Caenorhabditis elegans: one gene and its partners. The protein of the gene in region 3 purifies or fractionates together with the protein of the main gene of each other region. This does not show direct contact. Each region holds a gene or a part of one and is shown on either strand. Other genes may lie near its edges.

What was found.
Region 1: the proteins of ran-5 (region 3) and nsun-2 fractionate together in Caenorhabditis elegans (co-fractionation; one large-scale study listed by BioGRID). This does not show direct contact.
Region 2: the proteins of ran-5 (region 3) and nit-1 fractionate together in Caenorhabditis elegans (co-fractionation; one large-scale study listed by BioGRID). This does not show direct contact.
Region 4: the proteins of ran-5 (region 3) and rml-5 fractionate together in Caenorhabditis elegans (co-fractionation; one large-scale study listed by BioGRID). This does not show direct contact.

What each region holds. Positions count from the first base shown.
Region 1 is NC_003279.8:1,189,815-1,197,809, reverse strand, and holds the start of nsun-2 (tRNA (cytosine(34)-C(5))-methyltransferase), read right to left. Parts: upstream 4,653-7,995; 5' UTR 4,613-4,652; coding exon 4,368-4,612; intron 2,068-4,367; coding exon 1,718-2,067; intron 1-1,717.
Region 2 is NC_003281.10:3,919,109-3,926,471, forward strand, and holds nit-1 (CN hydrolase domain-containing protein), read left to right. Parts: upstream 1-3,098; 5' UTR 3,099-3,118; intron 3,119-3,152; 5' UTR 3,153-3,235; intron 3,236-3,336; 5' UTR 3,337-3,343; coding exon 3,344-3,555; intron 3,556-3,703; coding exon 3,704-4,023; intron 4,024-4,072; coding exon 4,073-4,154; intron 4,155-4,375; coding exon 4,376-4,679; 3' UTR 4,680-4,765; downstream 4,766-7,363. Other genes in the region: ZK1058.3 (putative galactose-1-phosphate uridylyltransferase), read left to right, coding at 1-41, 87-190, 543-725, 983-1,168, 1,222-1,530; metl-6 (tRNA N(3)-methylcytidine methyltransferase), read right to left, coding at 1,593-1,865, 1,917-2,072, 2,121-2,267, 2,315-2,467, 2,518-2,598; ZK1058.9 (uncharacterized protein), read right to left, coding at 4,891-5,002, 5,050-5,154, 5,203-5,328, 5,595-5,861, 5,968-6,069, 6,125-6,238, 6,898-7,010.
Region 3 is NC_003280.10:6,045,500-6,052,763, forward strand, and holds ran-5 (RanBD1 domain-containing protein), read left to right. Parts: upstream 1-2,609; 5' UTR 2,610-2,611; coding exon 2,612-2,678; intron 2,679-2,727; coding exon 2,728-2,840; intron 2,841-2,889; coding exon 2,890-3,045; intron 3,046-3,093; coding exon 3,094-3,228; intron 3,229-3,275; coding exon 3,276-3,390; intron 3,391-3,436; coding exon 3,437-3,528; intron 3,529-3,577; coding exon 3,578-3,922; 3' UTR 3,923-4,187; downstream 4,188-7,264. Other genes in the region: R12C12.6 (Transmembrane protein 9), read right to left, coding at 904-1,001, 1,057-1,400, 1,974-2,113, 2,165-2,368; gldc-1 (Glycine cleavage system P protein), read left to right, coding at 4,941-5,096, 5,492-5,782, 5,830-6,356, 6,426-6,628, 6,675-6,907, 6,961-7,188, 7,236-7,264.
Region 4 is NC_003279.8:1,790,320-1,798,970, forward strand, and holds rml-5 (NAD(P)-binding domain-containing protein), read left to right. Parts: upstream 1-2,934; 5' UTR 2,935-2,940; coding exon 2,941-3,045; intron 3,046-3,472; coding exon 3,473-3,649; intron 3,650-4,302; coding exon 4,303-4,788; intron 4,789-5,031; coding exon 5,032-5,134; intron 5,135-5,741; coding exon 5,742-6,022; 3' UTR 6,023-6,105; downstream 6,106-8,651. Other genes in the region: Y71G12B.27 (Cyclin-dependent kinases regulatory subunit), read right to left, coding at 7,120-7,332, 8,183-8,326.

The DNA of each region.
Region 1 (7,995 bases), on a different chromosome or scaffold from region 3:
CTGAAACTTGTCGGCCCCTCGGCCATGGCCTAGAAACCTTTTTGCCTCGTCCCTCGTTCGAAAAAAGTTGCAGTGTGATTTTTTGAAATTTTCAGTTTTTTTTTTGGTACTTTCTGTGGTTCTTTTTTGAAAAAAAAAAGATTATTCTGAAAATTGCAAGATTTTTTCAAATTTTTGGCATATTTTCTCTGAAATATTCAAGGTTTTTTTAAATGATTTTTCAGAAATTTTGAAAGTTTGAGTTTTTTTTATAAAGGAATTTTCTGTGGTTTTTGTTTAGTGATTATTCTGAAAATTGCGGGAATTTTACTGATTTTTTCGAATTTTTTGGAATTTTTTTTCGTGAAATTTTTGCAAATTCGAGGGTTTTTGAATTTTTTTTTTGAAATTTTTGCAAATTTGTAGAGTTTTGGGAATTTTTGGTGAAATATTCAAGGTTTTTTAAAAGATTTTTCAGAAATTTTGCCAATTTTTGGGATTTTTCAGAATTATTTTCAGAAATTTTTGGCAATTTTACAAGACATTTTTCGAAAAATTTATAAGATTATTTCTGGAATTTTTTGAAAATATTCTGAGCTTGTTTTCTAATTTTTAAGTTGAAATTTACAGAATTTTTGGGATTTTTTCCAAAATTTTCAAAATGTCTTGTGAAACTTAATTTATTTTTTTTTCAATTAAAAAAAAAATAGTTTCAGAATTTTCAGCGGTTTTAGATTATTCTGAAAATTTCAAAACATTTTCAAATTTTTTCGTGTTTTCTGGAATTTTTTAGATTTTTTTTGGGAATTTTTGCAATTCTCGGGAGTTTTTAAAAAAAATTTCAGAAATTTTCGAAAAATGTGTAGAGATTTTTCTAACATTTTTGAGATTTTATTTTCGAATTTTCCATGAGTTTTTTGGATTTTTTCCGTTTCTTTGCAAAAAATTGGCTGATTTTTTGAAATTTTCAGCTTTTTCTCGAGAATTTTCTGTGGTTTTTTGAAAAAAAGATTATTCTGAAAATTAGAGATTTTACTGATTTTTTCGAATTTTTAGGATATTTTTCGTTAAATATTCGAGGGTTTTTAGATTTTTTTTTTTGGATTTTTAATGAAAATGTGTGCCAATTTTTTTTGAGTTTTTGGGGACTTTTTTTGTGTAATATTTTGAGAATTTTACTGATTTTTTCTTTGAAACTTTGCCTATATTTTTGCCAATTTTTTGAGCTTTTTTTCGAATTATTTTCTGAAATATTCGAGGGGTTTTGGATTTTTTTTTCGAATTTTTTAAATGAACTTTTCGGCATATTTACAAAATGTTTTTTAGTTTTTAGGATTTTTTTCAAAAATTTTCTTTTTTTTAATTTTTTTGTTTGGTCTGTTTGGTCTTGTGAGATTGTTTAGAATTATTTTTAAAAAATTGTCTTCGTGAATTTTCTGGAATTTTAAAGATTTTTTTTTAATGAAATTTAAATTTTCACTAATTTTTCAGAAATTTTCGAAAATTTTATGAATTTTTTTGCGATTTTCTGAAACTTTTTGGAAAAAATTTCGTTGATTTGTACTTTTTTTTTTAATTTTCGGGAATGCGGTTTCCGATTTTTATGAAAATTACGAGAATTTTATTGATTTTTTTTCGAAATTTTTTTTTTCGAATTTTCAGAAATTTTCAAGAATTTTTTTTCGATTATTCTGAAAATCACTAATTTTTTTTGGAATTTTTTCGGCGATTTTCGTACTCGGATTCTCCTCGTTCTCATGAATCATTTCCAAAAGTTGTGTGGTCTTGCTTCCCGGAGCCGCACACAAATCAAGCACAAAATGCTCAGAAGTTGGAGCCAAAAGAAGTGGTGGAATCATTGAAACCGCCTCCTGTCGGGACAAATTTCCGAGTTCAGCCTCTGTGACAAGGAAATTGTGAAGTTGTGCAAGGATCGGATGACTTCGGACAGCGGTACGTGACATTGGCGTTTGATAGGCTTCTTTGTACCATGGAAGACTTTTTGGAACACATACAGCAGTGTCTCCGGCTTCCATGATTTTCCCGAAAAATCGATTTTCCATCTCATGGATCAGCTGCTCGCGGTCTCTGTAAACAAGTTTTTTTTTGTTGAATTTTCAGTTGAAAATTTCATCAAAAATTTCGGAATTTTTGAGATTTTTTTGGGGGAATTTTTAAATGAAATTTTTGCCTATTTTTCAGAGCTTTCAGGATTTTTTGGATTTTTTCAGAATTTTTTTTTGAAAAAATTGAATTTTTCGTTAATTTTTAGGAACCATTTTGAATTTTCGACAATTTTCTTTTGATTTTTTAAATTTTTTATTAAATTTCAGCGAAAATTTTTTATATTTGGTCAGTTTTCTGCAAGATTTTTCAAACTTTTTCGTTAATTTACCACTAAAAAATTGAATTGTCCATCAGTTTTTTGCAAAATTTTTGAATTTTGTTAAATTTTTTCGTTAAATTTCGGCAAAAAAACACTGAATTTCCCGTCAGTTTTCCACTAAAATTTTCAATTTTTCATCAGTTTTCTGCATGATATTAAAATTTTTCGCTAATTTTTTGGAAAAATTTGGAATTCTCGTTGATTTTTCACCAAACATTTTTTTTTCGTTAGTTTTCTGCAAATTTTTGTAATTTTCAGTTTAATTTCAGCAAACATTGTTAATATTTCGTCAGTTTTCTACTAAATTTTTAACATTTTTTCGTTATTTTTCTTTGCAAAATTTTTGAATTTTTTGTTAAATAGTGTTCAAAAATTTCGAATTTTTCATTAAATTTCGGCAGAAAAATTCAATGATTTTTTTTGATTTTCCTCTAAAATTTTGAATTTTTCGTCAATTTTCTGCAAAATTTTTTTAATTTTTCGAGGCACCACGTTTTGAAGATCTGTTCAAAAACAAGATCTACGAAAACAAGATCTACGAGAAGGAGATCTACGAAAAGAAGATCTACGTTTTCAGGATCTGGCACCGTGCCAACTGCGGTTTTCTCGATGAAAAACGTAACAACGATGCTCCGATGTTACGCGTCGCGTGTTGTTTAGCGTTCAGAAAGATATTTTTTGAAATTTTCTTCTAGAAGAAACGCTTAACAACACGCGACGCGTAACATCGGAGCATCGTTGTTACGTTTTTCATCGAGAAAACCGCAGTTGGCACGGTGCCAGATCCTGAAAACGTAGATCTTCTTTTGGTAGATCTTGTTTTTGGATTTTTCGTTAAATTTTAAGTTTTCCAACAGTTTTCTGTGAAATTTTTTAAAATTTTCGTTGACTTTTCCACTGAAATTTTGAATTTTCTAACAGTTTATTCGCAAAATTTTTACTAAAACCCTTGGAAAATCAGATTTTTTACAGTTTTCCCCAAATGTTTAGAGGAAAAGATGGAATTTTAATTTGTTTAAATCAAAAATATCCAAATTTTGGGTTTTTAAATATCCAAATTTTGAGCTAAAAAACCTTAAAAATTCAGTTTTTCCTCCAAAAAATTCGTCGAAAATCAATTTTTTTTCTAATTGTTTTTGAGCAAAAAAAGAATCACAAAATTGGAGCGTTTTAGGCCAAATTTTTTGAATTTTACGTTGAAATTCATAATTTTAACTGAAAATTCGTGGAAAATTAATTTTTTCACAGATTTTTTGTCCATCCAATCAATTTTCAAAAAACGAACTTATGACAACCCTGAAATCTAAAAGAAACAGGCAAATTGCTCCAATGGAAAGACATTCTGCTCTTTATATGTTTTTTTCTGAATTTTCAATTAAATTTCCGCAAAAATTTGGAATTTTTCGTTGAGTTTATACAAAAATCTGAATTTTTATCAGCTTTCTGCAAAATTTCGAAATTTCCGTTAATAATTTCATAATTTTCGTCAAATTTTTCACTAATATTTGAAATTTTCTGATAATTTCCGGGAAAATTTAGAATTTTTTGCAGTTTCTGCGAAATTTGCAAAAATTTTATTTTTTTTTTGTTAATTTTCCAAAAATTTTTCAAATTTTCCGGTAATTTTTTTTAGAAATTTAGAATTTTTTGTCAATTTTCAAATTTTTAATTAAATTTCAGCGAGAATGTCCATTTTTTTTTGCAAAAAATTGAATTTTTCATCAATTCAATGTCGGTAAAAAATTTTTTGAACTTTTTTAGCAAAAAAATTGAAAAAAATCAGAATGTCTGGAAAATTTTTCAGTTCTTTCTCTGAAAATTCGTGGGAAATCAATTTTTTTCTAATTGTTTTTGAGCAAAAAAAGAATCACAAAATTGGAGCGTTTTAGGCCAAATTTTGTGAATTTTACGTTGAAATTCATAATTTTAACTGAAAATCCGTGGAAAATTAATTTTTTCACACATTTTTTGTCCATCCAATCAATTTTCAAAAAAAACGAACTTATGACAACCCTGAAATCTGAAAGAAACAGGCAAATCTCGTTGAAGAGCCGCCCGAAACTCGTCAAATTGCTCCAATGGAAAGACATTCTGCTCCTTATAATATTGCCAATACTTTTCATTCTCCTTCTCCACCATACGATATCCCTGATTGCCTGGAGCATCACGATCGTCACGCCAAACATTTTCTCTCGGCTCATGGCCCTTATTCTTGCTCTTGAACTTGCGGCGGCTACTGTGAACCATCGTTTTTGGCGCGTTTTTTTCTAGCGGCGAACGTTGAACCCTGAAATTTTGAGAAAAATTGCAAATTTTCGGGTTTTGTTAGTAATTTCTATTGAGAATAAATTTTGGAAAAAAATCCCAAAAATTCTGTAAATTCCCTGAGAAATTTCCGAAATTTTTTTTGTAAAAATTGTCCTGTAAAATTGCCGGAAATTTCAGAAAAAAAATTCTGAAAAAATCCAAAAACTCAAAAAGTTGGCAAAAAATTGTAAAATCTTTTCAAAAAGAACCCCCAGAAAATTGTCGAAAAAATATTAAATTTCAGAAAAAAATCTATAAAATTCTCGAAAATTTCTGAAAAATCAAAAAATAAACTTTGAATATTTCACTATAGGAAAAAAAAAGAAATTTTTGAAAAAAAGACTCTGAAAAACAATTTTTAAATTCCTGTTGAAACCATTCCTTCACAAAAATTTCTATTTTTTGCCAATTTTTTGAATTTTTTTTTGAAGTGTTCTCCAATTTTTCAGATTTTAAGGATTTTTTTTCGTAAAATATTCGAGGTTTTTATGGATTTTTTCAGAATATTTTAATGAAATTTTAGCCAATTTTTACAGATTTTTTGCGATTTTTTTTGTGAAATATTCAAGGTTTTTTAAAAAAGATTTTTCAGAAATTTTGAGCTTTTTTTAAAAGAATTTTCTGTAGTTTCTGAAAAAAAAGATTATTCTGAAAATTGCGGGAATTTTACTGATTTTTGTTCGAATTTTTGGGATATTTTTCGTGAAATACTCGAGGGTTTTTGGATTTTTTTTTCAGAAATTTTCGTTTTTTTTCAGATTTTTAAAAGAATTTTTCTGTTTCTTTTTTTTAAAAGGAAATTGTAATTCCTTCTGCAAAAATATTTTTAGAAATAATTGGAACTTTCGAGCATTTTACTGCATTTTTTCGAATATTTTTCAGAAATTTTTGCCAATTTTCGGGAATTTTTTTTGTGAAATATTCAAAGTTTATTTTTTGATTTTTCAGAAATTTTCGAGAATTTTACAGGACAATTTTTACAAAAAAAATTTCGGAAATTTCTCAGGGAATTTACAGAATTTTTGGGATTTTTTTTTTAATTTTCAAAAAGATTTCGAAAATTTTTCAGATTTTTTTTGTTTGGTTTGAGATTATTTAGAATTATTAAAAAATTGTTTTCGAATTTTTGGGCGGTTCTAGTTTATTCTAAAAATGTCGAAAAATTTTCAGATTGTTTTCGTGAATTTTCTGGAAATTTTCAGATTTTTTTGAAATTTTCACAATTTTTCAAATTTTTTGGGGATTTTTTTAGACTTTTCAGAAATGTTCGAGAAGTTTATAAATTTTTTTCCCTTTTTTTGCCAATTTTTCGAGTTTTTGAATTTTTCAAAAAAACATTTCTGAAATTTTCGGCAATTTTAAATAGCGTTTTTTGGAAAATTTTCAGGTTTTTTAATAATTCCCAAAAATATCAATTCACTTTTTCATTATTTTTCCTTCTGCAAAAATTTGGTTTGGATTTTTTTGCCAATTTTTTCAGATTTTTTGCGATTTTTTTTGTGAAATATTCAAGGTTTTTTAAAAAAGATTTTTCAGAAATTTTGAGCTTTTTTTAAAGAATTTTCTGCGGTTTCCGAAAAAAAAAGATTATTCTGAAAATTGCGGGAATTTTCCGGATTTTTTAAGAATTTTTTTCGTAAAATATTCGAGGGTTTTTGGAATTTTTCAGAATATTTTTCCGAAATTTTTGCCAATTTTTTCAGATTTTTGCGATTTTTTCTTGAAATATTCAAGGTTTTTTTAAAAGATTTTTCCGAAATTTTTGCCAATTTTTTGCGATTTTTTTCTACAATTTTCGGCAATTTTACATGGCAATTTCTCAGATTATCTGGAATTTTCTGAAATTATTCTGAGTTTTTTTTGTTTGAATTTCTAGGTTGAAATTTACAGAATTCGAATTTTTTGTGAATTAGCCTGAAATTTTACTGAAATCATGGCAATTTTCAACGAAATTGTAATTTATTTCCAATTTTTAAGAAATTATTTCATATTCATATTTTTTTGTGAATTTTTGAGATAAATCTGAAATTTCCAGAAAATTTTCAAAATTTTTTGTGAACTTTTTTTCTGAAAATTACGAAAGGTTTAGTAAATTTTTTGAGGTTTTTCTCTGAAAATTTCGGGAATTTTATATTAGAAAAGCCTGAAAATTTCAAATAAAATTCAATTTCTCAACAAAAAAAAACAAGAAATCCGCCAAAAATTGGTGATTTTGATTTAAGATCAATATTCGAAACCCTAGAGAAAAATGAGATAAAATAGGGTAAAATTAACCAAAAAAAAGATCAAATTCAATAAAAAATAACACCAGAAATTCAAATTTAATACCACAAAAACGAAAAAGACAAAAAACACAGCAGGATAATGATTTTAAAGAAGCAAAAACCAGGAAAATTGCATTTTTAGGGGGCAAATTTGCGGGAAAAACCGGATTTTTATATGAAAATCTCAATTTTTGAGACTTTTTCTGGAAAATTGGGGGTAAAATTATTTTAAAAAAAAAACACCAAAGTTTACACATAAAAACGGGGGGAATGAGTGGTAAAAAACCGAACATTTTTAGGAAAATGATTAACAAGAAAAAATAAATTAACAATGGGAGGAATAATGTTTAAAAATGACATTTTCAGACATTTTTCTAGTTAAAAAAACTTGTAAATTTCGATATTTTTGAGACAAAACTTGGTGAAAATGTGATTTTTCAGAGAATTTTGCATTTATGTTCGCGAAAAACTGGGAAAATCTGAATTTTTTAGGATTTTCGAATTTTTTGAAAAACGATGAATTTTCGAGTGAAAATCAAACAAAAATAGTGATTTTTTCCAGAGATTTTGGGGGGAAAAACTCAATTTTCGCGCTAAAAAATTTTTTTTTTACGATTTTTGTTCTTTTTTTGTTGAATTTTCTGATTTTTGGTGGATGAACATAGTTAGAAAACTTGGTTTTTTGCGATTTTTCGAAAACTTCGGATTTTTCTCAGGGATTTTGGGAAAAATCTTAACTTTCGCGACAAAAAATTATGTTTAACGAATTTTGATGGAATAATGATGGAAAAAGGTGATTTTCTGATTTTTGGATGAAAACTATAGTTGGAAAACCTCATGTTTTTGCGATTTTTCTGAAATTTTGGATTTTCGAGAGAAAATCAAGCAAAAATAGTGATTTTTCTACGAATATTGGGGAAAAAAAAAGGAAAATTTTCAAATTTTGAAGGGAGATGTTGGAAAAATTGTGATTTTTTCAGCTAAAAAACTGTATTTCCCGTTTTTGAATTTTTTGGAAGATTTTGTTTTTTCTTTAAAAAAATTGCATTTCAAGCGAAA
Region 2 (7,363 bases), on a different chromosome or scaffold from region 3:
TCCTTCTTTCACGGAGTTTGAAGAATGCGCTGGGAAGGATGGTTGGGGCGAATAAAATATATTTTAGAAATATGAAGAAATTTTAGAAAATGATGATTTATTCAAACAACACGAAGTGAAAGGAGTTTGTAAAGTGATTTGTTATCACCCAAATAGTCAACTCACTTTAGCAACAATGGATGTTAAAGAGGTTTTTTTTATATTTGAAAATGGAAGACCTTGTGTCGATTTACGCTGCTCGTGTACTCCCCGAGGAGAAGTGTTCATTTGTTTTCTGCAGGGAAAAATCGTTAACAAAAACTTATTAATTTTCGATTTTCATCAGTTAAACACTAAATTGAAAGCTTACGAATGGCGAAAATTATCTGAAATTAAGAGATCAAGCCGAAAACTGAAGTTTAAACTGTTATATTCCGTTCCAAAACAGTTCTCCTCGGGGAGTACACGAGCTGCGTAAATCTACACATGCCGAGGTAGAGATTTCACGGCTATTCTCCCATTTCCAAGTATGAGCCCAACTACATCTAAAAATTAATGTTCAGGTCCGCGTTGTCATTGACATTTGGAACCAACAATATCTGGAGCTCGGCCCGAAATACGAATGGGTTCAAATCTTCGAAAATCGTGGAGCAGTTGTCGGATGTTCGAATATGCATCCACATGGGCAACTGTGGGCGTCAAATTATCTTCCGACGCTGCCAATGAAGAAGCATGAGAGTCAAAAGGTCTCGCCACGAACTTGAAGTTCGAAAACCGAAGCTGCGCCTTTAAGAAGTACAGTAACCTCACTTCTTTGCAGTTTTACTTGAATTTCATATTTCCAATGTAGTTTTGAAACAAAATATGACACTTACAATTTTAAAAATCGTAAATAGTAAAATCTAAGAAAATTTCGGAATGGGTTACTGTACTTCTAAAAAAAACGTACATAATTTTTTGCGGGGCATTTCAAAAACCGGTAGAATAAATTAATATATTTCAGAAACATTTCGAAAAGCACGGGAAGGTTATGCTGATGGACTATCTGGAGCAGGAAACTCTAAAAAAGGAACGAATAATCATGAGAAATGAGCACTGGACTTGGCTCGTACCGTACTGGGCATTCTGGCCGTATGAGACAATGCTTCTACCAAATCGACACGTGGAACGATTCACTGATTTGGGAGAGGTTCGTAAATTTGAAATTATAATTTAAAAATGGCAAAAATTCCGCTATTCCAGGTTGAAAAGCAATCACTCTCTGAAATTCTTCGTTCTCTACTCATCAAGTACGACAATGTCTTTGAATGCTCATTTCCCTACATGATGGGATGGTCTGGAGCCCCAACTGGCTCTTTTCTGACTGAAAATTGCTCATTTTGGCAGCTCCACTTGTCATTCTTCCCGCCACTTCTTCGTTCGGCGACTGTTCCGAAATTCCTTGCTGGATATGAAGTTTTTGCTGAAAAACAACGGGATCTTTCGCCGGAGATTGCTGCAAAAACGCTGAGCGAGATCGATGAAGAGCATTATTCAAAGAAATTGCAATAAATTTATTAACAACTTTAGTTAACAAGAACAAAACAATCGAATAAACATTTGAAAAAAAACAATTAACTCTCTCTAATAAACCTGGCTTGCACAAAAATCCGCGGAGCTTTCAGGCCTTTTTGATGATTAACCGTCATTCTATGTAGATACTCCTTCCGAACACATCGAAATCCAGATTTTTCAAAAACCTCCGAAAGCTCATTCAAATCAAAATAATAAGCTCTGGTGCCGTCTTGTCGAACATAAAATCGATCGGAAATTCTTGCTTCCCGGCCGAAACGAATCATAGCGTGATCATTGATACCGTAATCCCGGACTACAACAGAGCCTCCAATCTGGAACAAAAATTCCAATTTTATGTTGCTGGAAATTAAAAAAGCACTCACTTTTATCATTTTTCTTACATTTTCCGCTGAAATTTGATGTTTTTCGGGATGAATCGCGGATAGCACAAAAATAAGTGTAGCAAGATCAACTTGCTCTTCGAATGGAGATGAAACTGAAGGAATTGACAAATCCACGACAGATGTTGCTACGGAAAGCTGAAAATTTAATTTTAAACGTTTCATATCAGAGTTTTTTGCACATACTTCAAGCTCTTTTGCGCGTTCCTCCAACAATTTCACCGCGTTGTCCGAAAAATCGAATGCAAAAAGTTTCAGATTTGGAATTTCAGCGACTAATGGGAAAAGCATATTGCCGACGCCACATCCAGCTTCCAGATAGGAGATTTCTTTCTTAAATGAAAATTAAAAATTTTTCAGTGCAATTTCAGAATTAAAACCTCGAAATCTATGTCTGGGCACATCATTTTCAGATCTTCTGCACTCCAATTCCGATCCTTGAAGAAATTGTTTTTATTTCGATGATAGAATTTGTCCCAATTTTTTCGAGCGTCAATTTCCAGTTTATTTCGCTTGAAATCGCTTATACTCGTCTGAAAATTCATTTTTAAGCGTTTTTAAAAATACAGTTTTAGTTAAATACCTGTTTTGCCAGCTTTTCATGGTCATCTTCTGTTAATTCCCTTGAACTTTGACTTGAAAGAAAGCCCCCATCATCTGACATGTTTTCTGGAAAATTTTAAGCTTACACTAGTGTGGAAAAAGCAAGGAAAAAAGAAAAAAAAGAGGAAATTATGAAAAAAAAACAAAAAAAAATTAAAGTACAAAATTTCAACGACGCTCCGATCTCCCGCTATGTTTTGCGCGGAAGTTTAAATCACAGTTTCCAATTTAAATCTGAATTCAACAATTAAAAGCGACTAAATAGACATTTTCGTTCAAAATAAATATTTAAGCAAACATTCTTGAGCAATGTTCATAAAATATTGATCTTGTCGCTTCAATGTCCCCTCGAAACAACCCAATTTGCTACAGGCAAACTATAAGTGACTACAAAAGAATAGAACAATAGATCATCATCATCTTTTAATGAATGATATTTTGAACTTGCCTACGTGACAATTTACAATCTCATCGATGAACCCTCAAAGAAAACATTCTTATCATATCACTAATTGTCATCATTTTCATTTCGTCAGCCAGACCATGCCGAGTTCATTTTTGCCTTTGATGACTTGTTGGTCGCTATATAAAAAGAATACATTTTTTAGTATTTGTAACATCCCATAGCTTTTTTTCTTGGTTTCATACTTTTTTAAAACATCTGTGCAGACAGTATTTTCAGCTGCATAGGTGGCCAGGTGGGCTTTTTATTTGTGGCCGCGAAAATGGAAAGCTCGGCCACGAAGCAAATTTAGCTGAAAAATATCCTTCTTTTCAAACCCTATGCTCCTTTTTTCAGATTCAAAATGCCAAAAATTGCAATTGTTCAAGCGGGGACCCCACTATTTGATAAACCAGCAACTCTGGAAAAAGTTAAGAAAAATGTGGAAGAAGCAGCTGGAAATGGAGCTGAACTAGTGCTCTTTCCTGAAGCTTTTATTGGTGGATATCCAAAATGGAACAGCTTTGGAATCACAATGGGCACACGAACTCCAGAAGGAAGGAAAGAGTTTAAAAGGTGGGATGACCAAACTTTGAAATCACATACAACTCGAGTGTCTTTTGTTTTATCACAAAATTGTCAACTGACAAAATATGTGCCATTTCTTTTTCTACATTTTTTTGATGTCTTCACAATCGGCCGAGGCATAACTTTTCTGTTATAGATACTTCGAAAACGCCATCGAAGAGAACGGCGAGGAATCGAAGCTCATCGAATCTCTAGCAGCTCAGAATAATATCCATATTGTAATCGGAGTAGTTGAACGAGAAGCTTCAACCTTATACTGCTCTGTATTCTTTTACTCACCCTCCGGTTACCTTGGAAAGCACCGAAAACTCTTGCCAACTGCTCTAGAAAGATGTGTTTGGGGACAAGGTGATGGTTCAACAATGCCTGTGTTTAGTACAAGTGTTGGAAAAATTGGAAGTGCCATTTGCTGGGAGAATTATATGCCATTATATCGAATGACGCTTTACAGTAAAGGTTAGTAAATTTAATTTAACACCTAAATTCAAGAAATAATTAATTTCAGAAATCCAAATCTATCTAGCTCCAACTGTCGACGATAGAGATGTCTGGCTCTCTACCATGAGGACTATTGCATTAGAAGGAAGGTTAGTAAAGACCCTTGACTTCAAATTGCCTAGCCACATATTTTGAAACCTCTCGATCCAAAATTTTGAGATCTTTGACTCTAAATTTCGAGTCCCTTGGCCCAAATTTTAGAATACTTTATCTCAAACTTGATGGGTCTTCACCTCCAATTTTGGAACCCCAGACCGTTTTCGGCCCCTGACCGTTCAAACTTCGAATTCTCCCAAATATTTTCTTCCAGATGCTTCGTAGTATCTGCATGTCAATTCCTCAAATCCTCCGACTATCCCTTGGATCACCCACTTCGAAAAGAACACGGTGAAGATAAAGTCTTGATTCGCGGTGGATCATGCGCAGTTGATCCACTTGGAACTGTGCTCGTGGAGCCAGATTTCACAAAAGAAACGATTCGCTACACGGAATTCGATCTTTCTGATTTAGCTCTTGGAAAAATGGATTTAGACGTCGTCGGACACTACAGTAGGCCGGATGTATTCCAGTTGAAGGTCAATGAGAATTCACAGAGTACAGTAGTTAAGAAGTGAATTTAATTTCAAAATTTATTGTTCTAGTCTTGGAGGTGTGACTTCAAGGTCCAATGAATTTACAAATAAAACAATTTTTGTGTGAATTTTTTTTGTGTCGATCGCAATAAAAGGGGGAAAGCAGAAAATGATTAAGCGATGACGTGGCAGGGGAAGGAAAAATCGATCGATTCGATGAAGAAGAAGAGGACAAAAGTTGGAGGAAAATTCATTAATAATAACGAGACCAGCTAGCGGTTGAGCTTGTATAGTTGTGTGGGCGATAGCTGTTGAAGTGACGAAGACCACTGTTTCCATAACATGACCAGTACCATGGGGCAGCTCTGTAACGGACTCTATGCATCATTATCTACGTGCAAAAAATACTCACGTGGTTCCGAGATACTTGTTACTGTACATGTAGGAGCTCAAACTTTTCGGGCGGCTGGTGATGTCATAATGTGTTTCATTGGCAAGATAGGAATAGCCGGAGTATCTGAAACAATTTGAAAATTTTAGATACAGGTATAAATGGAATTCTTACCCTCGTCTGGTTGTTATCGGTCGACTTTCAGCGGTCAACTGCGGAGGCGTGTAGCTGGGTGTTAATCCATAATTCCTATCAAATGAATATGGCCGTCTGTAGTCTCCCTCTCGTCCGTACACATATCTGAAATGAAAAATCAAACAATTTTTGCATTTTAATGTGCTCTGTGGTTCTTGCCCAATAAAAAAGAATATCCTAGCTTCTTTTTTTATTTCTTCGATTGACATTTTGACGCCTTGAACTCTAGATGTTACACTAGAAAAGAGAAGATGCAGAACATTTTTTTGAACAGAAAATCTTCTAGAGATGTAAAGTTTGTCAAAAACATTTCGGAACAACAGGAACAGAAAAGCAGCATTTGACCCGCAAAAAAAACCCCAACGACTTACTTATAAATAGGATAACTCCAGGTTCTCAATCCATAAACATCATATTTCCTGAATGGTTCGTTTTCCGATCGATAATGAATGTTTGTGTGATATGGAGCTGTTACGGTTGCCAATGGAGTTCTTGAACGATGCAAATTTCCGTCGTTCACATTGTTGACGGCGGAAATTTCACGAACTGGAGTGTAACTGCGACGGACATGAGAAGCGTATCTCTTCTCATTGTCAACTGGTGTGTTCTCTCTGGACCATCTTGACAGGTATTTTTCCCTGAAAAATAAAGTTTAGTTTTATAACTTCCGCTCTTGATTATTTTACAAAGCAAAAACTTCCACACATATTCAAAAAAATATTTCGAAGAAATTCCAAAACATACCTAGAAATCGAGCTGAGATCGACAGATCTGCTACGGTTGAAGCGATAATTGTTGTATTCTGGCATAGTTTCCAAACTTTCTTCGAGTTCTTCTTCGGTTAGTCTGAAAATTTTTTAAAATTTAATTTGGTCCTCCAGCTTCTCCACTTGTTACTTACCTCTCAACGCACGGCGCTGCTGCAAGTCCTAACGTGTACTTTCTGGCCAACTTCTCCCACGATTGTCCACGGGAGTCGTCAAGAAGCCGTTTTGCAGCGGCTAGTGCGTTTGCTCTGGAAATTCGAAAATTTAGGAGTTTTTAACAATATAGTTAACAATATAAAAATAGAGTTAAAGTTTCGGAAATTAATCACTAAAGTTTTGAGGAAGTTCATACATTTTTGTGAAGCAGTAGCAAGCCTCATATCTCGGCTATTTCAAAATATAGCGAAAATGTTCTAGTTAGAAAATTTAGAAAACAAAGAAAACAAATATTACGTACGTATCAGTATCAGTTGAATATCAGTTGAAACTTTTTTGATAAAGTAAAAGGCAACTGAGATAAAATTTGTTAATATTATGTTCTCGGCCGAAGCTTTTCACGGTCCGTTTTTTGTTAAATGAAAAAAAAATTTCCAAAATTAAGAATAATCAATTTTTAAAATTTTTTAAAGATTTCGTTTTGACCACTACAGTCAATCAGAATGCCGTATACACTCTATTCCCCTCAGGCTGTACAAGTTTTATCAAAAAATTTTCAACTTATAACATAAGTGCCACATATTTTTGTTCCTTAGTTGAACATTTTATGATAAAACCAATGATAACCGAGATATAAGCTGCCGCAGTATAGAAAAGGTAATTCAAGACCCACAGGAAAAATAAAGTATACTTTTGCTTCAGATACTTTTCACAAAAATATAATTTTTAGCTTCAATAAATTATTAAATACCTAGTTGGTTCGGAATGAAACCGATGTCCCGGAGGGTTCTTTTCCTCCGGTAGTAGAGGTAACAACGGACCATCTTCAAATATTGGGTCAAGTTTTACAGACGAAGCAACCATATGTTTTAGATAGTTTTGCGAAGTTATTGATTATCAGTTTATCAGAAGGGAATATATTGATAGCAAGATTTTTTTCGAGTTGGTGACAAAGTAACTTTTGTGATGCAACTGATGGGATAAGAAGGGGGATAAGATGAACGAAAACCTCTACAAATAGAGAATGTCTTTCTCTCTCTTAATCTATTGTTTGAACACAAAAATAGTGGATAAATTGTAGAGTTTTTGGATGCGGGGGGTCATTGTTGGTGAGGTGTACTCTTTTGCAACACAATAATTTCGAATTTGAAAGAAAAAATATGTTGTATCAATTTCGTGTAGGTGGTGGGAGAAATGAGGAAGTTGATGACTGATCA
Region 3 (7,264 bases):
TGAAAGAGGGGCATTTATGCGAAATGGTCTCGGCACGCGCACCAAATAAAATGTAAAAGTCAACAAATAAATGGGTGCGCCGTTAAATAAGATTACTGTAGAGATTTCTTCCTTACATTTAAATTGATTTTTACTTTTTTTTCCCAATTGTTTTGCATTTAATATATTCGATTTGTGTTTGCATATCAGACACAATAAATGCTGAACATAAAGAAAATGAAAAAATCAAAGAAAATAATCAATATCTCTACAGTAATCTTAAATGCGCGCACGCAAAATGTTTCAACTTGATTCGATTCCGAGACCATTATGCACTAATGCGCTCTCCTTTAAACACAGGAAAGTGTAAAATAAAATACGTTGAGCATATTCGAACTGATTTCTAAGTGGAAAAATAGTTTCGTAACTTCAGGGTTACTCATCGGAGACCAGAAACAACGACATTATGCTAATTCCGAAAAATGCCCTTCAAACTGTAGAATGTTCTTTGGCTAATTTTTGAGTCATAATTTTACGAGATTTATAAGTTTTCAGGTGTATGGTTTTTTTTTTTAATTTATTCGCTGTTTTTCGACAAGGTGATCTGAAAATTGAAAAAAAAAAGAAAACGAAAAGAGGGAAAATGTGGGCACTTGCCGAGAATCTCCTCATCTCTCTCACTTCTTCCGCCGCGGCGGGTCGCTCACAACAAACAGCGAGTCAGGGACATAAGAAAGAGATTAGAGACGCAGACGTCACTATTTCGCTTTGACCCCTCCGTTATTTAACTGTCATTGTTTAACAGGTAATGAGAAAAGTGTTTATGAAGGTGAAAAATTGTTGGCAAAGTATTTGACAAAAATATACATCATACGGTTTTAATAAATTATGAATGATTTTTAAACCCTTTTGATTGAAAAGTAACTAGTTGAGCATTGTATGATCTTCGAAGATATTCCTTCGTTGCTCCTCGACCTTCTTCATCCAACGATTCTGTTCGGCCTCGACGCGTCCGAGAACATCTGAAGAAAATACTTTTTTAGTAAAAACTATAAAATCTTCAAATGGAGCACTTACTACTTCTCGCACGTGTGGTTCCTTGTGTATCCATTGAATTACTTGCTGAAGATGATTCATCGTCAGTTGATGGAGCAGCAGCAAAGATATTATCCTCCATTTCATCATTATGTTGTTGATAACTGATCGATAATCGTTTCTTCCGGAGCATTGGATCCAGGCACATAAGGAATACCATGTATCCCGTTAAAACAGCGATCACACAGATTACAAATATTACAACTACTTTTAAGAGCACAGTGTTTCGTGACTCATAACGGCAGTCGCAATTTGCAAGAAATGCATCCATATGGGTCTCGTCAACGAAGTTACTGACTTGATCTTTCACAATGTTGCTTGGCTTGCTGAAATGTTTGAAAAATTATATTTCTTTGTCGAATTTAAGGTTTATTTGTGTAAATGATGAATTTGAGCTGTTGAAAAAAATTAAAAAAATAAGTGTTGAAAATGTTTTAAAACTGATCAACATGTTTTTTTGATGAAATGGAAGGAAAATAAAGACTTAGAAATTCGAGATTTCATGGTTATGATTTATTTTTATTCGAATTTTTACAACGATGTAGATTCTCAGCAATAGAAAATAAAAATAATTGTTTTTCTAAATCATATTTGTGGTTTTCTGAAAGAGAAAAAATTAAAACTGTGACTAAAGTTCCCACAAAAATTTCTCAAATTTTAACGTTTATAAAACAGTCGGAAACGTTCAAATTTCGATGAAAAAAAGAAATTCAAATTTGCAATTGCTTTGAGCGAAATAATACCATAAAGGTGGGAGAATTTCATAACTCTGCCAAGTTATTTTTGATGTGGATTTTTAGCAAAAAATATCAGAGTGACTAGGAGATATTTACATATTCGGATTTGATATTTTATATTTTCTATTAAAACAATTCAGATTTAAAATTAAAAAAACTCACCAATGGCTCGGTTCGATGTTAGTTTTTGTATAAAATCGTCTCCTCAATCCTTCTGTTTTTTCAGTTGTATTTTCAGCCAAGTCGAGAAATTTTAAAAGACTCGGACAAATGCATCGACATCGTGTATCTTCGAAGTTAGCCTGAAAATATTTATTAAATTATATCTTTATAAAAGTAGTTATGAAACAAACCTCAGTCCCTGCTTGGGATAATGCGGGAAGAAACAGTAAAGCAATAAATAAATATATCATTAAATCTGAAAAAATTACGGAAGTTGGACTGTATTTTTTTTTATTTTTGCAAGAAAATAAAAAATGCTCTGAAAAATAGAATACAAGTAAAACAAGAAGTGCGCCAGTGCAACTTACTGGCGCTTTTCGCGATGGCTGACGCATTCTTCGTTTCACTTTTATGATGTTCACAACGAAAATCGAAGAAATAAAAACTTGCACTTATTTTTGTCTTAAATTTCAATTTTTCTTCTGCTTGTTGAGTAATTTTTCAGTTCTCAGTCTAAATTACTTGCTAATTATCTTCATTTCAGTCTGCATGAATACTAATAATCGATTTTTCGCATTTTTTTTGCAATTTCTATCCGGTATTTGTCTTTTTTAATTCATTCGTTACTATTTTCAGTCATGTCAAAAGGTTTTGCTTTCAAACCGTCTGCTTTAGCTGCCAAGGCAGATAAACTGTGGTCAGATAGTAAGTTTTCAATTTTGTGTTATGTTATCTAAGTCACGTGAATTTGCAGGCAAAACAGAATACACAGCAACTCATTCAACAATCAACCACGTTCATTTGGAAAAGAAATCGCTGGGCGATATTATTCCGAAATCAGCAGATGCGCCTGTTGCAAATGAAAAAGTTCGTTGAAACACAATGAGTCAAAAAATTCGTTTTCTTCTAATTATAGGAAGTCGAAGAGGCTCCACAAGCATTTGTTTTTGGCTCCAAAATATCAGATCGTGTTGTGAACAAAGAAGGTGATTCAACAAAGCCGGGTGGTTCAGACGAAAAGACCATGACAGCAACTGAGCTCTTCCAAAATGCAGTTAAAAAAGATGACGATGTAATCTATATTTCGAATCAATATTTCTATTCATAATGTTAATTTCAGAAAAATGGAGCCAAAAACTTCAGAAAGGAAGCTGAACAAGAAGCGGAGAGAGCAAAGGAAGCCGAAAAGCAGCATGCCGGAACGAGTTCAGTCGAAATCACCACCGGGGAAGAGAACGATACTAATATTTTCCAAGTGAGGCAGTATTCATTAAAACATAATTTTTATTTATTTGTCTTTAGGCTCCTTGCAAAATTTGGGCGTTTGATAAATTGAAAAATGCCTACTCTGAAAAGGGTGTCTGCAATCTCAGGATCAACAAACGAGTCGAGAACGGACTGACGCACCACCGAATTGGTAAATACTGATAGTTAGAGTTTATTGTATTCAAAATTATTTTCAGTGGCAAGAACATCTTCCGGTACTCTTCGTGTCATCATAAATTCCAAAATTTTCTCTGATATGCTTTTGGAGCGGGTCGACAAGAGAATTCGAGTGAGCTTTAATGTTATATGAATATATGTTTTATTGTTACTGTTTACAGATTTCCGCAATGGGACCAGAGATCAGCGGTGTTCAGATTTTCCTTCTAAAAATCGGATTCACCAAAACTGAGACGATCCCCGATTCGGATATATTCTACAATATTATGAGCGACCTGCTGAAATTGGAGAAGGGAGAGAATAGTCGGAAGAGGAAAGCGGATTGTGATCTGAACGCTTCAACTGTTAAAATCAAGGATGGAAAGGAAGAAGAAGAAGGTGATCAAGATCAAGTTGATGAAGGATTTGTCATTGTAAACAAGCCAACAGAAGATGAGGTGAAAGAAGAAAAACCAGCTGTTACAGCTGCCGAAGAATCTGCATCCAGCTCAACTCCTTCCGAATAACCATATCAGTCATTGCTTCTTTCAACTTCCCCTGTGCTCTTTTTTCTCCTTCCAATCCCCACAAAAATGGTCTCCAACTTTCACCCAACTCAAATCATTTCCCCTTAAGTCTAATTTCTTTATTGCTAAAAATTTCTTCTAGATTTCTACCAATCTGGCCTAACTTTCCAATTTCGTTTTATTCTTATATATCCCGTTTTATGTGTTTGTCGAATATATTTGGTTTGTGAAAAAGAGAAGAGTTTGCAATAAAAAGCAGAAATACAATCAAGAAGACACTTAGACAATGGCGTTTCGGTTATCAGTGGCGCTCTTACTGAAGGAGGAGGAGAGCGAGATAACGATCGTTGTGGGGTGATCGATTCAGAATTCAATTGGCAACACCATGATCATTTATCACCTTGTCAATTCTGTAGCATTGTTTCAGTAGGAGAAGATTTTTTTGTAGTTAAATATCAATTTTGAGTATAACAAACGCGATTTTTGCACCTAAAATACGGTAGCCGGTCTCGTCACGACAATTTTTAATACTTAAAAAAAAATTGTATCAATTTATTTATAAACTCTAAAATAACACCGAAACACTTCAATTTTTATAAATCTAGAGGAAAAATCGATTCCGCATCAATGAGAGTTTGAAGTTACAGTACTCCTTAAAGGTGCACACACCTTCTTGCATTTAATAAAAAGTTGTCGCGTTGAGACCCGGTACCGGTTTTTTGGCGTCTTTGTAATAAACCCCTTTGAATTTAGTTTTGAAGTTTAAACTTTGAAGTTCAAAGTTTGAAATTATCCCATAATATCTAACCACGCGTCGGGCGTTTAATATCATAAAATCAAAAGTCGAATTTTTTTTATCTTATCAACAATTGGAGTACACGTGTACCCACGATATTTCTCGATTTGTACTATTTTAAATATTTTTTCTCGGAATAAATTCTCTTTGCCTGCCATTTCTACATTCTTGTTTCATTTCATTTTACTACTCGTGAATCTAGAACCTTCACTCATCTCCAAAATGGTTCTCCTTGGACGAGGATTACTTGCCGTCGGGCGTGTTGCTTTTCGACGTCCGATGATTGTACGACACCTTCAATATGATGCTTTTGTTGATAGACATATTGGACCAAGACGATTGGAGCAGCAACAAATGCTCGATTTTATTGGATACAAAGTTCGTGGCTTGATTTTCCATTACTAATGGTATACACAGTTATTACGCAGCTGCAGAAGTTTACGATTTTTTACGCTGACATACGGTCTCGTCACGATCGGAAGTTTTTCTACCGTATCCGCGAGTATTTCGCAATTTTATAATGATCCGAATATTTTCAGGTTTTTGATTGAAAACACGTTAAAATCGAGCAAAACTTTAATTACTTCAGAAAAACTTTGCTAAATACTTTTTGATACGGTAGCTAAAAAGTTTCGACCATGTCGAGACCGGGGACCATATGTCCCGCAAAAATAATTTGCGATGTTGGCATTGTATCTCCTATTTTGTTTAATGCATTTTCTGAAGTTAGAAACGCCTGAGAATTCTGTCTCATAATAACCTTGAAATTACAGGATCTAGATGATCTCACCGGAACCAATGTGCCAAATATGATCAAAGCAGAGAAGGCTCTAGAGCTTCCAGCACCACTTGACGAATACAAGATGCTCAAAGAGTTGGAAGCAATTGCAGCACAGAACAAGATTTATAGATCTTATATTGGAATGGGATATTATGATACAATTGTGCCAGCTGTCATTTCTCGTAATATCCTTCAAAATATTGGATGGATCTCCCAGTATACTCCATACCAAGCAGAAATCTCACAGGGAAGACTTGAGTCTCTTTTAAACTTCCAGACTATGGTAAGGCATGGTTTGATGCCTATGAGTCTAATATATTATGTTTGAAGATTGCTGAAATGACTGGTCTCCCAACAACCAATGCATCTCTTTTGGATGAAGCCACAGCTTCTGCAGAAGCAGTTGCACTGGCTGCTAGAACTACAAAGAGAAACAAAATTGTCGTTGACTCATTCTGTCATCCACAAAATCTTGATGTAATCAGAACTCGTAGTGGACCACTTGGAATAGATATTGAAGTTTCTGATTCAATTGAAGGATATGCGTTTGATGATAAAGTAGCTGCTGTAGTTGTTCAATATCCGAATACTGAAGGAAGAATTCATCAATTCGACGAGTTGATCGAAAGTGCTCACAAGAATAAGTCATTGGTGATAATGGTGTGCGACTTGCTCTCGTTAACGATTCTCCGATCACCAGGAGATCTTGGTGCAGATATTGCTGTTGGATCGGCTCAACGATTTGGAGTTCCATTGGGTTATGGAGGACCACACGCTGGATTTATGGCTGTCGCTAAGCATGATGCGAAGAATGCATTGGGAAGAAATATTCCAGGAAGAATCATTGGAGTTACTAAGTAAGTGGTAACCAATTTCTGGGATCAACCTATCACCAAGACTTCACATTTAAACTTTTCTTTTTTCAGGGATGCAAATGGAAATCGTGCTCTTCGCCTGGCTCTTCAAACCCGTGAGCAACACATTCGTCGTGATAAGGCAACCAGTAACATTTGTACTGCTCAAGCTCTTCTTGCTAATATGTCAGCTATGTACGCAGTCTATCATGGTCCACAAAGACTCACTGAAATTGCCAGAGGAGTTCACAAATCAACTGCATATCTTGCTTACCGTAAGTTACTATGTAAGTTACTATATTCATTAAATCTTTAATTTAGATCTTCGAAATGCTGGTCACGAAATTGTACACAAGGACTACTTTGATACTTTGAAAATCCGTCTGAAGGATAAAGCCGCTCTTGAAGAAACGAAAAAGAGAGCCGAGGAAATGAAGATGAACTTCCGTTATTATGAAGATGGAGATATCGGAGTTTCATTGGATGAGACTGTTAAATCTGAAGATCTTATGGATATCATCTACACATTGAATGGAGCCACAGAAAAGGATGTGGTTAGTTTTTGACTCGAGATGTAGAAGAAAGACTATCACATTTATATGTTTAGACCAAGCTTCGTGAAGAACGTTGGGAAGTTGCATGCCCATTAATTGGAAACTCACCACATTCTAGATCATCACTATTCCTTCAACATCCGGTATTTAATACTCATCAGAGTGAACAACAGCTTGTTCGATATATGAAACGATTGGAAAATAAGGATGTTTCTCTTGTTCATTCGATGATTCCTCTTGGCAGCTGTACCATGAAGCTTAACGCATCTGCTGAACTTATTGTTTGTTACTTTACATGTTGGCCTTGAAATTTATAACTATCATTAAGCCTATCACCTGGCCAACTCTATCATCTAT
Region 4 (8,651 bases), on a different chromosome or scaffold from region 3:
CTTTAAATGACTACTGTAGTTTTCGCTGCGAGATAATTTGCGCGTCAAGTATGTTGTGCAATACGCATTCTCAGAATATTGTGTTTCCGTAAAACATTATTCTTTTGGAAAGAACTTTTGAAATTCACAATAGGTTCTAAACAGGCAAAAAAAGGCGGGAAACGATTTTTTCCGGATTTTTTTTACAATAAATTGCCCATTTTTGCCCCTTTTAATAGTTTTTGATGGTTTAAACCTAAATTTTTGAATTCTCCATAAATGAATTACCCGTTTTCAACAAATTTTGACCTTTTATAAAAATATTTTTGACAATTTTTTCAGCCATCTTGGGCAAAAAAAATTGGGCAAAAATTTGGGCAAAAAATGTTTTTTTTAATGTTCCAAACAACTAGAAATTGAAAAAAGTAAATTTTTAAAGGTTTTGAAGTAATTTTTTGAGTCCTCTTACTACAAAATTAACCATTTTAGAGGAGTTTCAAGATTGTAAATTTTTGCAATAAAGTGCTCATTTTTGCCACTTTTTGATAGTTTTTGATGGGTTAAACCTAGATTTTTTGAATGCAGCATATATGAATTAGCCGTTTTCAACAAATTTAGACAACTTTTTATTTTTGCCCAATTTGTTTTCTGTCCTTTTTTTTGGGCAAAAATTTTTTTTTAATGTTCGAAATCACTAGAAATTGAAAAAGGGCAATTTTTTATGTTTCGGAGTAATTTTTTGAGTCCTCTAACTTCAAAATTAACCATTTTAGAGGAGTTTCAAAATTGTGATTTTTTACAAAAATCGCCCATTTTTGCCACTTTTTAAAATTTTTTGACGGGTTAAACCTAGATTTTCTGAATTCAGCATATATGAATTACCTATTTTCAACAAATTTAGACAACTTTTTATTTTTGCCCAATTTTTTTGTTCCAGTTTTCGCAACAATTTACCAAACCTTAAAATTTGTTATCAAAAGTGATAATTGTTGCGGTTTTCTTTTGATCTCTTATCACTGTTCATATTATTTCCCATACTTTATTATTCTGTTTTTTTTTTAATTTTAAATTTCATATTTCCATGAAAAATCATTCATTATTCAATCTACACCTATCTGAATGTTCGGTCGTTTTCGCAAATATGCCACGTATCGATTGATTTCTCTATTCTACGTGTATGTGATGGCTCTTTACTCATTGCAAGTTGATGATGACCTCGATGATAAGGATAAGGATAATTAATTTCGAAAAAAAAAAGTTTTCTTTTTTTGAATAAAGCTAATTTTTTACTTTTTTATGAATCAGTACTAAAAAAAATCTGGAAAATTATGGCCCAAATCAAGAAATTTCCAAAAATTAACGTCTCCGGAAACTTGTTTCTCTTGTTAGGCTCCGCCCATTTTTTAGGCCAAAATTTGAATAAAAAATTGTCAAAAAAAATTTGCCGCGAAGATCATTATTTATATATTAAAAAATATTATGAATTGATACTGGTATAGGGTTAGTATGGGGATATGGTCAGTGTACTGTAGTAGTACTGTAGGGGTACTGTATGAGTACTGTAGGATTACTGTAGTTTTGGAAAAATTGACTTTTTGTCTTTTGAAGAGATATTGGTTTGAGGTTAGTAGGGGGTATAGCCGGGGTACTGTAGTAGTACTGTAGGGGGTGCTGTAGGAGTACTGTAGTTTAAGAAAAAATTTAGTTTTTTTTTTTCAAATTCAAATTTAATGGGAAAATTTTTTGGTGGGAATTAAAATCTTCTGTGATAAAATTTTGGCTGAAATTCAAATTTTCTGAGAAAAAAAACAACTTTTTTAGAAAAATCTGGAAACTTCTAGAATTTTCTAAAAATTGAATTATAATTTTTCAGACCAAACTGGCGACTAGAGTGGCGACTAGACTGAAAATTTTTCAGAGCGACTTTTTTGCAGCTCAAAGCTGTGCTCCCACTTGGTTTCAGTCCGTCAATACGGTTTGATCTACAAAAAATGCGGGAATTTTTTTGCCCAAAAAAATGTGACGTCACTCTTAACCATGCAAAATCAGTTGAGAACTCTGCGTCTCTTCTCCCGCATTTTTTGTAGATCTACGTAGATCAAACCGAAATGGGACACTCTGCCACTGATTTTTTTTGCACCAGGGGCCTATTTAGAATGGGGTTTTTTTTCAAACGAATTAGGTTTTATTTAGAAGTCTGGAACTTAGTTAAAATATATTTTATTTGGCCCTTGTAAGTTTAAGTTTTTCAGAATTTTCAGAACTTTTTGAAAGAATTTTGGCGCGCGAAACTTGAATGCTGTGGTTTTTCATGCTACGTGGCTGCAAAACTTCTATTGTCGCAGATAGAGTATACAATCAATGTCCTGGATCTATCTCGATTTCATTCGCATGTCTCTCTGCGGCTCTCATCTACCAATACTCTCTCACTTCTATCTGTTCGTTGCGATCTCTGCGCTGCCGTCCTTGACCGCGATATGTCATACAGAAACTGTATTCATTCTCGACTTTCTATTTTTTTTTGTTTTGGAGAATTTATGTTCATCTTAAAATTAATTTGGTTTTTGAACATATTGAGGAAACGGTTTTTTGAAAAATAATTTGCTTTTTTTAAAAATTTTTTTCCCAAAACACATTTTAAAAAATTAATTTTAAAAAATTTCTTTGACAAGCGACACGCGGTTCTGGCTTCCCTCATAAATTGAAATGGAAGAATTTGCCGAACTAGGCCAGGCCATATCCGGGGTAGATTTACGGCGCGTTGCGTGTCGCGTCGCGGCTTGATTTCAGTTGTAAAACTAAATGTATTCGTTCGTGTGGAGTGCACGACTTTCCCAGTCCGGCAGGCAATTGTCAATGGAGCGGGAAAAATTTAATGAGGAAGGCCAGAACCCCGTGAAGCGACACTCCGTTGCTAGGCGTTGCAGATTTTTTGTTAAACCTTCGAAATTTCAGTGAAAAATGACCGTTTTGATTACCGGCGGGATTTCAAAAATATCTACTCAACTTGCGGAGGCGGTGCTAAAAAACGGAAGAAATGTGGTTCTTCTGCACAATAATGAGGCGGTAAGTGGTGGCCTACAAAATTTTCGAAAATTAATTTTTAATTATCGAGTAGTATAGGATTTTCCAGCTGGCCGAGAAATCCTTGTAATGGCCTTAAAAGTTTAACGTTCCTATTCCGGCAATTGGTAATTTCGGCAAATTTGCCCAAATTTGTCCAAATTGCCGGAATTGCCGGAATTGCATTTTTAGGCTCCTAAATCTACAAAAAGTATGAAATTTTTATTTCCGGCAATTCTGGCGATTGCAGGTTCTCAAATTTTTCAGCAATCGGCAATTTTGGCAATTGCCGGTTTTTTGAATTTTCGGCAATTACCGAAATTGCCGAACAGCGAAAATGGTTCCCATTGAAAATGCTAGAGTGGCCTAGAAATTCTCAGGTGGCCGAGAAATTTCATGATGGCCTAATTATTTCAAATTTCTCTTCCAGATTCCAACAAATCTGATCAATAATCCATCGCTCACACTTATCAATTTATCATCAATCAACGAGGAAGCAATCAAAAATCTAATCGAAAATTACAAAATCCAAACAATTTTCGACGCATCTCTCACCACAACTGATGTGCTCTTGGAGCCAATTCAAGGAGCTAAGAAATTGATTCTGGTAAGGTTTTAGTAAACATGCTCTATTGGCAAACATTGGGTGTACTCCACGTGAAAATAGAGAAATTTCGAATTTCGTAAAGTCAGAAATTAAAAAAAAAATCCAGAAAACTCCTGGGAAGTCAGAAATTATCAGAAAATTTGGAATATTTTTTTGAAAAATAAAATAAAAATTCCAGAAGTCCACGTGGTGTCAGGCTGTCCCATCACGGTTTGATCTACAATAAATGCGGGATTTTTCCCCCAAAAATATGTGACGTCAGCACGTTCTAAACCATCTGCGTCTCTTCTCCCGCATTTTTTGTAGATCTACGTAGATCAAGCCAAAATGAGACACTCTGACACCACCTGAAAGTCCGAAATTTCTAGAAAATGTTGAATGCTTTAAAAAAAATCAGAAAATTCCAGAGGTTTCTTTAAAAAAAAGGTTGAGAAAAATTGAAAAATTTATATCTTTTCTAAAATTCTAAAAAAAATACAAAAAAATATTTTAAAAATAAATCAACATTTCCAAAAATCTTTGAACAATTTAGAAAATTCACGAAATTGCAGAAATTTTCAGAAATTTCAAATTTTTTTGAAAAATTTCCGTAAAAGCACGCGCGCTCAGTTGACAAACCCCTAGAATTAAAAAAAAATCAATATTTTTTTCAGGGAATCACGTCAATCCTCGATGCAATCCGTAAATCCGCATCCCCACCATCTCTGGTTCTCATTAGTGGTGACGAGGTGTACGGTAGGGCGAAGAATCGTGTCGAGACCCAACCTCTAGAGCCGGTCACATTCATCGGCTCAGCTCAAATGTCCGTTGAAGCAATGGCTCACAGCTATGCTGTCAGTTATCGTATTCCAATGGTCATCGGAAGGGTATCCGATGATTTATCGATTTCTGACGCGACACGTGGATTATTGGCAATTGAAAAGTTGGCACAAAGCCAAAAACCAGCGGAGGTCTACAATATTTCGGCTTCTTCAGCTGAAAAAATTCAGAAAGAAACGAATTGGAGCCCGTCTGGCTCTGTAAAGGAACAGGGACCCATCGAAGAAGTTTTTAAGCCAATTTTCTTAGTTTTCGGAGCTAATTCGGAACTGAAAACTCAATTTTTGGAGCTGCTAAAGCTGGAGGGACTGGTTTCCAAGGTTTGATCTCAAATTTTTGTATTACGGTAGCCACAAAAAAACACCATACTTTACGACAATTTGCAGAAAATATCTAAAAATTACGTCTTTTGTATTACGGTAGCCTCAAAAAAAAAAACACCATACTTTACGACAATTTGCTGCTCCAGGGGTAAAACTAAGCGGGAAATTCAAAAAAAGTGTCTAAAATTCGTTTCTAAATTTTTAAAACTCTCAAAAAGTCAAAACTTAACTAATTTCCAGGAATCCACAATCACAAATCTGCAAGAAGCCACTGATAAATCGGTTATCGATGAGATTAACACAATCAATCCATCCCATTTGGTTTATTTCGGAAATGAAACCGGTAAGTGACTTGGTGGCTGAAGACAGTGGCCGCAAAAAGTTTTTAGGCCATGAAATTATATTTTTTGGTCGGAAATGCTTTTCTTTTTACGCTAAAAAAATCAAAAATGCCAAAAAACAATTTTTTTTGGACTTAAAATTTGTCTCAAAATTCAATTTCACGAATCACGGGTTCTGGCCTTTCTCATTGAATTTTTCGCGCTCCATTGACAATCGCCCGCCGGAAAACGTGTGGGAAAGTCGTATACTCCACACGGACAAACACATTTAGTTTTACAACTAAAATCAAGCCGCGACGCGACACGAAACGCGCCGTAAATCTACCCCAGATATGGCCGAGCCAAAATGGCCTAGTTCGGCAAAAACTCTTCCATTTCAATTTATGAGGGAAGCCAGTGGCCGCAAAAAGTTTTTAGGCCACGAAAGAATCTTTTTGGTCGAAATTTATGTCAATTTATGCTTTAAAAAAATTCAAAAATGTCAAAAAAAAAATTTTTTTTGGACTTAAAATTTGTCTCAAAATTCAATCAAAGCTTTTTTCGCTAAAATATTTTTTCACCGAGAAAAAAATTCTGGGCCAAAAAAAAGCTTTTTATTTCAAATTCCAGACTCATTCGAAGGCGACTGCTTCACTCTCCGTACCAATATGGCGACTAATCTCTATTTTCCATGGCTTCTCGCAAGTATTGCCGAAAAGTTCTCCCTACACTTCACCCATTTTGGAAATACTTCTATGAGCCAAGAGTCTTCAGCTCTTGCCGTTAAAGGATACACTGGGAAAATGTTGGAATATTTCGAAAAAACGCTCATAATTGGACAGAAAATCGATAAAAACGTGCTGGAATCGATTAAGGCATGCAAGACTGGAGGACTTAATAATAATATTTAATTATTGAATTTTTGCAAATTATTTTTGAACTTAAAGCATTCCTTTTTCTGCGATTTTTTCAATCAATAAATTTTGAAATTAGTGTTGTACTGGCAAATTGGCAAAATGCCGGAATTGAAAATTTCAGGCAAATCGGCAAACCGGCAATTTGCCGAAATTGGAAATTTCTGGCAAATCGGCAACCCCGCAATTTGCCAGAATTGAAAATTTCCGGAAAATCGGCAAATCGGCAAACCAGCAATTTGCCGGAATTTAAAATTTTCAGCAAATCGGCAAACCGGCAATTTGCCGGAATTGAAAATTTCCGGAAAATCGACAAACCGGCAGATTGCCGGAATTTAAAATTTCCGGCAAATCGGCAAACCGGTGAATAGCCGCAATTTGAAATTTCCGGCAAATCGGCAAAACTGGCAAATTGCCGTAATTTAAAATTTCTGGCAAATTACCAGAATTGAAAATTTACGGCAAATTAACGGAATTGAAAATTTCTGCCAAATCGGCAAACCGGCAATTTACCGGAAATGAAAATTTCCGGCAAATCGACAACCCGGCAAATTGCCGAAAATGACAATTTCCGGCAAATCGGCAAACTGGCAATTTGCCGACTTTCCGAATTTGTGGACAAAAAAAATTGCCGAACGGGAATTGCCGGCCCCTGGTGTACTCTACGTTCAAAACAAATTTGTAATTTTTGTTAACATAAAATTTGAAATAAAAATCTTTATGCTTCGTTTTTATGGCGGCCGAGATTTTTATTCTATACGGGTTTTGTTGCAAAATATTGATTTTTATGACTTCGATTTTCATTTAATATTGATTTTTGTCGAAATATCGATTTCCCAAAATATCGATTTTTTAAAAAGCAACTTTTGTAATATATCGATTTTCGGCGCTTTTTAATTGAACATACGGTATTACTAGGGCTTCCATTCCTGCGCCGGCGAGGCGCCTTCGCCGACCAGCGAGACGCCTCAGTCATGTATAGTGCGGCGCGGAACCCCGAACGTGTCGGACGCTTCCAAATAACAGCGGCGATGGCCGGCCGGCGCGAGACGCACCGCCGCTCACCCATGGAAGCCCAAAGTCTTACAAAATATCTACACTGCTTTATTCACAAATTCATAGAAAACCGCGTTCAATTTCTCATCGGTTGCTGTCGTTTGCTGTTGCGCTCTATTGAACACTTCCATATCTCTCAACAATTCCATTTTGGCACGCTCCTCGTCGGCTTTTGTGAAATGGCGCTTCCGACGGAACAAGAGAATGTGCTTCTCCGGGTTATGAACCATGTAGTGCTCCCATCCAAGTGACTGAAAAGTATGAAAAATCAATAATTCGGCCACATTCAGAAATTTAATATTGATTTTTTTTCGTCGATTTTATGACTATCGGTTTTCTTGAAATATCGATTCTATCAACATATTAATGTTTATTTAAAACAAATTTTCATTAAAGGCAAATTGCCGGAATTGAAAATTTCGGGCAAATCGGTAAGCCGGCCAATTGCCGGAATTGAAAATTTCTGGCAAATCGGCAAACCGACACATAGCCGGAATTGAAAATTTCTGGCAAATCAAAAAACCGGCAAATTGCCGAAGTTTAAAATTTCTGGAAATCGGCAAATCGGCAAACTGCCGGAATTGAAAATTTCTGGCAAATTGCCGGAATTGAAAATTTCTGGCAAGTCGGCTAACCGGCAAATTGCCGGAATTGAAAGTTCCTGGCAAATCGGCAAATCGGCACATAGCCGGAATTGAAAATGTCTGGCAAATCGGCAAACCGGCACATAGCCGGAATTGAAAATGTCTGGCAAATCGGCAAACCGGCACATAGCCGGAATTGAAAATGTCTGGCAAATCGGCAAACCGGCACATAGCCGGAATTGAAAATTTCTGGAAAATCGGCAAACCGGCAATTTGCCGAACATGAGAATTTCCGGCAAATCAGCAAACCGGCAATTAAATTATCGGGCCGGCGTAAGGCCCACATTTCGCACCTCACTCGGCTGGGAGCCTTGCTTAATTTAATAAAAAATATTTTAAAATATTGGCTTTTTCAAAATATCAATTTTGTGAATTATCGATTTTTGGAAAAATCTATTTTTTTTAATTATCGATTTTTTTCCTAAAATCTTAACATATCACTTAATTGAAAATATACCTGTTGAACTCCAGCACGTCTCCATTCAGCCTCACTAAGAAGTCTTCCCTTTGGCACTTTTCTCGAGACGGCTTGCGGAAGAATGACGTGGCGATATTCGTATTCATCATCTTCGTAACGTGGCGAATAGTAGATATCTTCCATTTTTCAAAAACTCTTATTCTTCGATGTTAATTGTACGACAAGTAGGGAATGAATGATTGTTGAGGAGTTTTGGAAATGTTGTTGGAACAATTAGGAAGAGGGGGGGGGGCAAGGTTACGTGGACAATTCTTTTTTTTTAAATTCTGAAATGTTGTATTTATTTTACAAATCACGTGGAGTATTCCGAATATCGATGTAAAAAAAATTCAACAAAAAAATCCCTGATTTTATATTTGAGCTTGAAATCGCCGAATTTCATTTGTGCCCCCGCATAATTTTTTCAAATTCGCATTGGAGCGCGCTTGCATCGTTTTATTTACTTCAT